Oryctolagus cuniculus: one gene and its partners. The protein of the gene in region 2 interacts with the protein of the main gene of each other region in a pairwise test. Links are inferred from orthologs where the notes say so. Each region holds a gene or a part of one and is shown on either strand. Other genes may lie near its edges.

Evidence for each region. The genes of interacting proteins can lie anywhere in the genome.
Region 1: the proteins of BEND7 (region 2) and SMARCA2 interact in binary tests that used the Homo sapiens proteins (3 or more experiments, as listed by UniProt). The two-hybrid records come from large-scale screens. The link is inferred for Oryctolagus cuniculus from reciprocal best matches to the Homo sapiens genes BEND7 and SMARCA2.
Region 3: the proteins of BEND7 (region 2) and PPP1R37 interact in binary tests that used the Homo sapiens proteins (3 or more experiments, as listed by UniProt). The two-hybrid records come from large-scale screens. The link is inferred for Oryctolagus cuniculus from reciprocal best matches to the Homo sapiens genes BEND7 and PPP1R37.

The regions. Positions count from the first base shown.
Region 1 is NC_091432.1:164,360,295-164,363,770, reverse strand, and holds the end of SMARCA2 (probable global transcription activator SNF2L2), read right to left. Parts: intron 2,745-3,476; coding exon 2,602-2,744; intron 2,568-2,601; exon of another isoform or gene 2,462-2,567; intron 1,492-2,461; coding exon 1,456-1,491; 3' UTR 627-1,455; downstream 1-626. UniProt on the Homo sapiens protein: ATPase involved in transcriptional activation and repression of select genes by chromatin remodeling (alteration of DNA-nucleosome topology).
Region 2 is NC_091444.1:69,190,571-69,194,218, forward strand, and holds part of BEND7 (BEN domain-containing protein 7), read left to right. Parts: intron 1-1,773; coding exon 1,774-2,042; intron 2,043-3,648.
Region 3 is NC_091449.1:11,608,854-11,612,501, reverse strand, and holds part of PPP1R37 (protein phosphatase 1 regulatory subunit 37), read left to right. Parts: coding exon 1-8; intron 9-103; coding exon 104-270; intron 271-351; coding exon 352-1,060; intron 1,061-1,263; coding exon 1,264-1,346; 3' UTR 1,347-1,354; intron 1,355-2,007; 3' UTR 2,008-3,648. UniProt on the Homo sapiens protein: Inhibits phosphatase activity of protein phosphatase 1 (PP1) complexes.

The sequences.
Region 1 (3,476 bases), on a different chromosome or scaffold from region 2:
GGAAGCAGCTTGTGAGAGCAGAGCCAGGGCAGCAGGGCTCAGCCAACGCTGGACCTCAGAGGAACGTTCCGTTCTCAGCCATGGACCCAGACGACTTAGCCAGGCCTTTGTTACATGTTACATGCCTACTGTGCCAGCAAGTGCCTGGCACGTGACCTGAGGCATATCCGAAAGTTCTGTCCCAGGCCTTACCGCTGGGGAGGTGGGAAAGGGCTCTGGAGCGAGCTTACCTCCCGAATCCACCTTTGGTGTGCTCAGCCCACACCGTCTCCACTGCTGTATTCCTGTTTGTAAAATGGGAACGGGAAGTGCCTTCAGAAGGCTCTGAAGCAATGCGACCGACAGACAGTACTACGCTGGCACCTGGGAAAGAACTAGGCCTATTTAATGCCTGAGGAAAGGCTGAGCAGTGCCTTTGTGTGGCCTGGCCCATGGCGCCTCCCTCGTGGTGCACACACACCTGAATTCTCATTCTCTCTCTCTCGTCCCTTCCAAGGAGCCTCCCTGGCCCCCTTCAGGAAACAGTCCCCTCAAGCATGAGGGGGTCACTCCCTTAGGACTCAGGAGTAACAGGCAACACTGGAGAGCTATGGTGTCTCGTTACTAGGAAAGCACCAACGCCACGGTTTTGAAATTACTGGAATTTTATTTGCCTCAGGCTTATGACTTGCAACCAAAGACATTGTGCAAAGAAAGCAAAGATTAAGTACACTTTAGGGAGAAGGAGACGATACACATCGGTAACATAGGAGATCAGGTTGACCAAAAAAGCCATCCAGTACACTATATAGATTGCAATATTCAATAGCGTTTTCAACAAAACTTTTTTTGAAATCAAGAGCAAAAAAAAAATTTAAGCAATGTTTACAGTAGACATAAATCTTATACAATTCAAAAAGCATTGTTTTCAGATCATAGAGCATAAAATGGAAAAATGTCTATGCAGGTGAAATGTGACTACTGTACATTTATCACCTATTAAAGTTGCTTATATGTACCACAGTGTAAAAAAAAATACCGAACAAATAAAAACCTGGAAAATTGCCTGATGAAAAATAAAATAACCAGTGGCTTTTAATGGCTTCTCCTGGTTATCAGTGCTACAAAAGACAAAAATCTTCTCATCTGAACGGGTGATAAAACCAGGCACAATCAAACTATTACCAAATTAGACCCACCCATAGAAATATACTATCCACCCACATATTTTCCATCAAAAGATTGGTTTGTTTTTAATCTTTGAATCTTTGAGGCCCATTTGGTCACAATATGTTACAAATGTTGTGTGTGTGTGTTTTTACACCATGATATCATATGTTTGTCTGGCACTATCCTAAAGCTAGTTTATAGATGAGGATGATGACAGGGCCCAGTGCCACTATGACAAGTAGGTTCACTGGGCAGAGAGGGGAAGGAAGGAAGTCAGTTTTACCAAGGAAAAAAGGTCCAGACTGTTCATTCATCATCAGTCCCGCTTGCTTCCGACTGTTCCTAGAAGGAAAAACAAGAGGAAATGAAATAAAATCCCAGGAACGAGAGGAGACACCTTAATAAGCCATGGGCAGGCAGAGAAAGAACAAACGGCCTTTGAGAAACAGCGGAGGCTCCACATCTTTCTGCAGGAAGACAGAAGCACACCCAAGAGGCACTGACAGCAGTAAGGCCAAGAAGAGGGCTTGTCATTAAAATCCCAATGCCACACGCACCCCCACTTTTGCTAGTGGGTGCTCCCCTTCAGTCTGGGTTTACAGGTTTGTGGCTAAGTACTCTGTGTTTTTAGCCCTATGCCTTGGAAGATACATGGGAAGGAAAAACATCATGTATTTCCTGTCTGCTCCACTCGTAAGTGGTATGAGGAAAACACAGGGCTTTCAATGCATTTGAAAACAACTGTGCCCAGTGGTTAAGGCTGGTGTAAGATGATGACTCTGAAACTTACCATCATACTAACATGGACATGAGTTCCCAGAAAGAAAAAAAAAAATTGGCAGGGAAAGTAGAAGGAAGGTAGGGCAGGTTCAAATGCCACTGTCCTGTGCTGTGCAGACTTGGTCTGATTTCAGCTCTGCTGGTCACTTGCTAGATGACCTGCAGCAAAATGGCTAAATCACTCTCATGTTTTGAGAGTGGCAGCACACGATGCTGGGATAAATATGTACCAATACAGGAAGGCACCTATTTCCAGGCCTCAATCAATGCTCCCTGAGGTTTTTCAAATATTAAAAAAAAAAAAAACCCTTAGGTGCTTAAAAAGTCATTTGGGTTTTCATATGGCACCTTACTGAGCAACTCAAGTCCAAAACTCCGACATCCCAACACCTTTTCTCATTCTTCCATCTACTATATACAAGGCAGCACGACAGGCGTGATATACAAAATATGAATCGGCCATGGAGAAAACTCAATTTCTAAGATGAAAAACTACAAAATCGAGTTCTCTTCTCCCCTTTATTTTCTGCAGACTACTGAAGCAATGCACAGAGCCCCCAGATCTGTGGTCGAAGTCCTGCCGCTGTGTTCCCGTCCTTCAGGGATGGCATCTCGCCCATCGACTTTGTCACCCACAGGTGAGAGGGAGCAAGATGCCAGCACTGCACTCACGTTCTCATCCTGCTCCTCGTCGCTGTCAAAGTCGCTCACGACAGGCTTGGCTTTTCCTCGATTTGGCCTTTTCTTCCCTTTTCCTTTGTCTCGGCTTTTCTCATCTTTTTTATTGAGCTTGATTTTCACCTTAACCGATTTCGCTATGCAAGAACAAACGAAAGAGCCATCAGTGAGGAGACACGCAGCAATGCTTTTCACGAACCAGTGACGAGGCGAGCAGCCACCGATGACTGGCCACATGGTCAGGGTGCCTAGGAACTTCCCAGCTCCTGCCGTCCTGTCCAGTCGGTGGCCCCACACACGCACGCCTCTCTTTGGCAGATGAACGCTGTCACAGTACACAGGCCACGCGAGGGAAGGTGGCCTCCCAGGCAGGGTCCTTCTTTCCGGGCTCCTGCAGGCAGACGGCGGGAATGGGAAGCGCCTTTCCTATTTCAGGGAAGTGTTCAGGATGCATTTAATGGGGGGAAGGCTGCAGAGGATGCGTGCAGATCACTCTAGCAGATGGAAGCAGAAGGAAAATACCAATAGTTGAATAATACTTTTACCACAGGAAGTAAGAGAGTAAACACTCCTCTCCCTCAGCCTATTATTTCTAGGGCGGTGGGGAATGTGTGACAAAGGTGCTTCAGCCAGTTCATGGAACAAGGCATTAAAGGATAAAAATCTGTGAAATGCATGCATTTTTCTGCACACTTTCTGAAGACCTCTCCTATACCTGAATTACTTATGTACTTATCCCAATAGGATCTTTGTAGCTGGTTATATTTCACATATGTGGGATGAGTGTACCCATCAGCTCATGCCTACCTTCCTCAATGTTTGTACCACCTGAAAAGACCCCCTTGTATGACATGCTATCATGTACTCAA
Region 2 (3,648 bases):
ACTGATTAGAACTGTGCAGGACCAGTGATTAGGGACCTTGTAGGGCCAGCTGCACCACTCCCTCAATGTAATGCAGTAATTTTAGCAGGTGGTTCATTTGGGATCGTAAAGGTAGGGGAAGGAACTTCCAGCTAAGGGAATGAGCCTGGGAGACTGCTGGGTGATATCTAGTAACTATCTGTGTTCAAGGCATTGTAGAGCTGCTCCAGTTCAAACTGGCTGCACATTAGACTCCCTGAGGAGCTTTAAAACAATGCTGATGTATGGGCCCCTGGAAATTTTGATTCACTTAGTCTAGGGCAGAGCTGATGCAACAAAGATTTTTTTTTTTTTTAAACTCCAGAGGATTCTAATATATAGCTAACCAAGGTCAGGAATCAGTGAGCTTGACTACCGTAACAATGGTTAAAAAACTTCTCTGTGCTCTCGTGTGCTGCAAGTAGTTTGTTTCTAATTCTTACAAATTGCCTTTCAGTCTGGTGATGAAAATAGCAGGATCAAAGTATAAACATGCTTTCAGACTGATAAGAAATGACTGCGGGTACACATTTGACATCGTGGTTGGGACAGTGCCTGGGACGCCCATATCCCGTATCAGAGTGCCTGAGTTAGAGTTCCAGCTCTGCTCCAATTCCAGCTTCCTGCTAATGCTTGCCCTAGGAGGCAGCCAGTGATGTCTCCAGTGGCTGGGTCCCTGCTCCTCATGTGAGACACCCAGATGAAGTTCCAGCTCTGTCTATTGTAGATGTTGGGGAATGAGTCAGCAAATGGGAGGTTGCTCTCTGCATCTATCTATCTATCTCAGATAAATAAAAACCTTTAGTTCTCATTTAGCTTATATGTTATAGTTTTTTGTTAAAAACCAGATATATCCTGTGTTGATATTTGGTTAAACATATGAATACATGAAGACTTAAATAAGAATAATAAGAGTGTTACATGTTTACCAAGTGCAAGTATGTATTCACTTTTGAGTTCTTAGTCCTTGGGCTTTGCCTTTCATCTTTGGACATCAGACTATTTCTAGAGTTTTCTAATATGCTGGAGTTGTACGGGATTATAGTATTCCTGTTTTGCAGCTGCATAATACAGAGATCTGGAGAAGCAGCCTGATCTGAAGTCATGTAACATGGAGCTCTCAAAATAGCTGGTGTGTGCAGAGTGTTTGGAGAAGAAAGAGTTACTGGGTCAGGTTAAGCGGCTAAGTTTTTGCACGTGCTTACTGCTCCCTATTGTAGAATCATTTCGAACTGTCTCTTTAGATCAGCTTTTACCAGATGATCATCACAGCTTCATCTTTGTCAGTATTGGCACCTGTAGATTCTTAGAAACCGATCAGTTTAACTCCAAATGAAACAGATGGAGTGTTCCTGAAATGTGCTTAGCAGAAAGCACTGGTACCTGTACCTGAATTTGAGTTCGGAGCTCTCTTTTATCTTAAAATGTCATATGATTTACAAGTCATGCTCAAACGTTTTCTCTTGGCTCGTAACTCTTTGCTTCCATTGAGCCGGGTCGTGGCAGTACGTTGTAGTGATTCACAGTGTTTGGAGCAGGTTTTTTTCCTGGGTGTTCTGCTGCTTCTAGGACTTTAAGGTGCTCCAGAGCCTGCATTTGGTAACCTTTAGATGGAATGTGAGATTTATTTTGGCGTGCTTCATCCTTGAGGGAGCCTCGCTTCAGTTTTGTTTGTACATTGCATAGACAGACCAGGGATAAGTTTCCTAAGTTAGACACAAGTGCCTGTACCGTATTTTTGTTTATTGTTCACAGTTGGAACACAAAACAGACAACAACCCCCAATTTCCCTTATATGCTCCCAGCGAACTGGTGTCTCCCGCAAGAGAACTAAAAAGAAAAAAGTGCCCCCCAAGACTGTTGAACCTCTCACTGTGAAACAGAAGCCCAGCGTGTTAGAAATTGAGAAGACGATGACAGCAGTGGCCTCTGAGCAGGCGGGGCTCCAAGCCACTGAGCACACCTCCACCGGGGAGAACCGGGTCCTGGGATTCGGCATTGTTCTCGAATCGCCTGCCTCAGATGTAAGTTGATAACCTTCTGGCTGCTGACTCGAACGTGATGTAACCGCCAGGTATTTTAGTATTAATACATTCTCCCCTGGACTAGTTCTCTCAAGACAACTAGAGAAACTTGCAGAATACATGTGGAAGAGAGGAAACGAAAACTCACAATTTCCTTGTCTGGAATTGTCTTTTCTGAATATTTTATGCTGTATTTATTTAAGCATGTTTCCATTCTTTATCTTTGGAAGAAGAAGGGTGAGGGCATAAATCATCTGCTCGCTAATTTCTTTAACATTTTTAATTTCTAAGTGGCAGTTTTCAATTTCCTCAATGTGGAGAACTAAAAGCACATAATTAAATCCTTAGTAGATGGACATAAATGAACAGAACCATACAGATAAGGTCATACCTTTCTGGAAACACAAACTAATAATAAAAAAGGAGCAGTAGTACTAATTCTATTTTATAGATGCAAGCTACACTGCTAATTAGGTGGCAGTGCCATGCCATTTCCTTCGTGTAATGATAGGTTAACGCTCTGCAAAGGTTCTGCTATTTTAATATCATAGTCAGAGTGTTGTTGCAGTCCAGGATGTTGGATTACACTTGAGATAACCATCTGACTTGCCATTTTGTCTTCATAGGACCATAAATGAATTTCTTTCATTACATGCTACATTTGCAACTGCATACTCCATTGACAGTATCTTTATCTAAGTGCATTTATGTTTCAACCCCAGCTTGTTGGGAGAGTTCTTAAAATAAACAAGAAAGAGTGATCTATTATTATCAGATTGCATAGGATGAGAATCCTGCTGAGAACTCCCACAGCCTATATAGGATTAGAGTTGGGCCCTACCTTTTAGATTCAAATTAAGAAACAAATTGCTATTAAAAAAAAAAAAAGTCCTGTTTTAAATTTAGGAAGACAGCTTGCTAGCATATATCCACATTAGAACCTTAGTAAAGGGTGGTGACAAAAGTAATCATCTTGTGACCTTTTCAGACTGGAAAATCGTTTTAACTTTTATCCAAACATTGGTATTAAAGAAGTTTTTTTTTTTTTTTTTAAATCTATGAACACATTTACAACTGTTTGGATGTTTTTCAAGACTAAAATGTTAATTTAAGAAAATCATTACTGTTCTACCCTAGACCAGGCAGCTCACGTGAATATGTCACAATGTTATTGCAGCTAAGGCTCCGGTCAAACCTCGGGTGGACCATGCATTTGGAAAAAGATGGAGTATTCTGCAACACAGAATACATTCCTTCAGTCCTGAGCAGTTTTCATGATGCTTTTTTTTTTTTCCCCCTTAAATTTTCTAAGCCTTCTTTTCTGACGGGCATTGTTCTTTCAGGACAGTAATTTGAGATACATTAATCATTTCCCAAATGGGGTGCCCTGATGCTAGTAACCAGTCTTTCTCCTTTTCTTTTTTATTTTCAAGCTCAAACCATACTTCAGAGATAAATCGAAAAAGAGTTGAAAAAAAATCTTATATGTGTGTGTGTATGTCTGTGTGTGTTTGAAATAGAATACAATTTTTGTTAGCTTTATCAATATTAGTATTTTGTTTGTATATTATTTTTAAAATGTTTACTTAAGATTATTTTTGCTAAC
Region 3 (3,648 bases), on a different chromosome or scaffold from region 2:
GTGCGAGGGTAGGGCGCCGGGCCGGGCTGGGCCGGGCCGGGGGGCGCGGGGCCGGCCTGCCAGGCACGGGGCCCGTGGCCAGCCCCTGCGGTCCCCCTCGCAGGCGCGGTGGCGGTGGCGGAGTTCATCGCCGAGAGCCCCCGCCTCCTGAGACTGGACCTCCGGGAGAACGAGATCAAGACGGGCGGGCTCATGGCGCTGTCCTTGGCCCTCAAGGTGAACCACTCCCTGCTGCGCCTGGACCTGGACCGTGAGCCCAAGAAGGAGGCGGTGAGCGGGGCTCCTCGGGGGCCGCGGGGCGTGCGGGCGGGCGGCGGGGCCCGGAGCCCTAGCCAGGCCACTCTGCCGCAGGTCAAGAGCTTCATCGAGACCCAGAAGGCGCTGCTGGCCGAGATCCAGAACGGCTGCAAGCGCAACTTCGTGCTGGCGCGGGAGCGCGAGGAGAAGGAGCAGCGGCCGCAGCTGTCGGCCTCCATGCCCGAGATCACCGTCACCGAGCCGCCGCCGCCCGCCGCGGCGCAGAACGGGGCCCCGGGCCCCGGGCCCGGCCCGGACTCGGACTCGGATTCAGACTCTGAGGGGGAAGACGAGGAGGAAGACGGGGAGAGGGACGAGGCCGGCGGAGACCAGAGTCCCTCGACCCCCTGCCCTGCCCTGGTGCCCCCCACAGACTCCCTGGGCCCTGGGGACAGGAGCCCCCCAGGGAGCCCCTCCTCCCCCTCTGAGCAGCGCATCTCCGTGTCCAGCCCGGGCCGGGGCCACAAGGTGTTCGTGGTGACCCGGGTGGAGAGTCCTCCCGAGAGGGCCGAGCCCCCTGTGCCGCCCGCCCACCTCTCCCCACCCTCCTCCCCACCCTCCTCCCCCTCCTCCCCTGTGCTGCCGCCAGCTGAGGGCGACGGCCGCCAGGACCCAGGATCGCCTGAGCCGCAGCCGCAGCCGGAGACGCCTCAGCCAGGGCCGCCGCTGCCCAACGGCCTGAAGCCCGAGTTTGCCCTCGCACTGCCCCCAGAGCCGCCCCCGGGGCCCGAGGCCAAGGCGGGCAGCCGCAGCCTGGACCACGGTGAGGCCCGGTGCCAGCACGGCCTGTCGCTTAGAGGCCCCTTGAAGGGGCAGGGAAGGTGGGGCTTGGGGCCTGCTGCCTGCCCGCCGCCCTCCCCGGGGTGGGGGCTGTGCACCTGCTGCCCAGTCTCTGGTGGGGACAGGCGGGCCTGCGGCTGGCCCGCTGCCGCCTGACCGGAGCCCCCTGCCCGGCCTCGCCCGCAGAGCTGAGCTGCCCCGAGAGCGAGAAGGAGCTGGAACAGCTGCTTCTGGAGGCCAGTCAGGAGCCGGGGCAGGAGACACTGTGACACTTTAGGTGAGGGGCGGGGCGGGGGCGGGGCCAGGGAGGGGCGGGGCCGGGGCAGGAGACACTGACACTTTAGGTGAGGGGCGGGGCGGGGGCGGGGCCAGGGAGGGCCGGGGCCGGGGCGGGAGACACTGTGACACTTTAGGTGAGGGGCGGGGCGGGGCCAGAGTGGGGCGGGGCCGGGGCAGGAGACACTGACACTTTAGGTGAGGGGGCGGGGCCAGAGCGGGCCGGGGCAGGAGACACTTTACGTGGAGGCGGGGGCGGGGCCAGGGAGGGGCGGGGCGTGGGCAGGAGACTGACACTTTAGGTGAGGGGGCGGGGCCAGAGCGGGCCGGGGCGGGGCCGGGGCGGGAGACACTTCAGGTGAGGGGCCGGGGCCGGGCCGGGGCAGGAGACACTGTGACACTTTAGGTGAGGGGCGGGGCGGGGGCGGGGCCAGAGGGGGCCGGGGCAGGAGACACTGTGACACTTTAGGTGAGGGGCGGGGGCGGGGCGGGGCCAAAAGCGGGCCGGGGCAGGAGACACACTTTAGGTGAGGGGCGGGGCGGGGGCGGGGCAGGAGACACTGTGACACTTTAGGTGAGGCGGCGGGCCGGGGCGGGGCCGGGGCGGGCGGCTGGGCGGGCTCTGCGCTCACCGCGGCCTGGCTTCTCCCCAAGTTCCTTTCTTCCGCTCGGTCTGGGAGGAGCTGAGGCCAGAGCCGTGAGAATCTGCTCACCGTCCTCGCCGCGTTCCGGGGCCCAGGACGCCAGGGGCGGGAGCCCACGACACTACCGGCGCAGGAGCCACGGGAGGCCCCGCCCTGACTTCACTTGTATTTATGTGCCCCTCACTCTGAGACTGGACACGGCTGGGGGTGGCCGGGAGGAGGAGGACGGGAGGCGGCGCCTGCGAGGCCGTCGGGCCGCCGGGCCGGGCCCTGTGGCGGAGGGGCCTGCCCGTGGTGGTGGGTGGTCCCCGTGAGCGGGCGCAGCACCAGGCAGGAGGCGTGGCGTGGGGGCACTGAGGTTCCTACATCAGCCCCAGGCGGGGCGGGGGGCGGGGGGCTGGGAGTGGAGGACCAGAGCTTTCTTTCTTAAGTGCAATAAATCTATCAGGGAGCGGGGGCGGAGCAGCGCGCACCCGGGACCCTGCTGCCCGGGCGTGAGGGTGCCCCGGAAGCACTACAGGCGGCGGGTGGGCGGGGCTGGGGGGGCTGCCCTGGCCGCGCAGCTCTGTCCACACCTTTTCTAATAAACTGGGGCTGGGCTCACCTCGCCTGCTGTGCTGCCGCCGCCCCGGGCGCCCCGTGCGCCCCGTGGTCCCCAGAGGCCGGGTGGGCCGGAGCCGCTTCTCTTCCCCGGCTCTCGGGGTGCCGGCTGTGCCCTCAGCCCCGGGTGTCCTGTGCCTCGGTGCCGGCAGACGCGCCTCGTCCCCACCAGCCCCCGACGTTCGGATGGGAACGGGCGCGGGGCCCGCACGGCTCCCGCTCCCTGCTGCCCAGTGTGGCTGGCGCGCAGCGGGAGCGCTGAGAAGTGCCGGGAAGGCTGTAGCAATGCCAGCCCCAGTACAGCCGGCTCCCCACAGACCCGGGGCCACAGTGGAGACTCCGTCTGGGTGCAGGGCTCACGCCACGGCCACTCCGCTGCCCTGTGGCACCCGTCCCCAGCCCTGAGCGTTCTCTGATGCCGGCTGTAGCTGGCTGGGAGGTGGTGTGAACATCCCGTCTGCGCCCAGCCCCCAGGATCCCGGCAGGCCCTGGGCCAGCTGTAGCTGCGGCCTGTGGCGGAGCCCCTGGGGTGCACCCACGCCCTTGGCCCTCTGCCTACACCCCTGCACCGGGGGTGCAGGGCTCGGCCTGTTCACCTTTGTGTGTGCCTCTGGGGGCTGGATCACATTCCCCCCACACAGGGGACCAGGGTCTTCAGGGAGACGACCAGGCTAAAATGGCAGCCTTGTGGGCTGCGGGCTAGAGTGATGGGTGTCCTCTAAAGTGGGGTGGAGGCAGCCCGGCAGAGCCCCGTGGGAAGACGGGATGCAGTGGGCGTGGAGGGCCCTGGACTGCCACCCACACCCTGGGAGCTGGGGGGGGGGGGGCGAGGAAGGGCGGCCTGCGGAGTGGGCCACGGTGGGCTCTCCCTCGGAGCCCCCCAGGCTTTGGCAGTCCCAGGTGTTGGGGTCCGGGTGCTGAGGGGACCTTTCGCCCTCAGCCACTAGGGTGTCACCAGGTTTGGGCCCCGCAGCCCTGGCTGAACACAGGACTCCACGTGACTGCTTGGCTGTGTGCCGGCACAAGGAACAGGTGCTGCGGGACCCTTCCA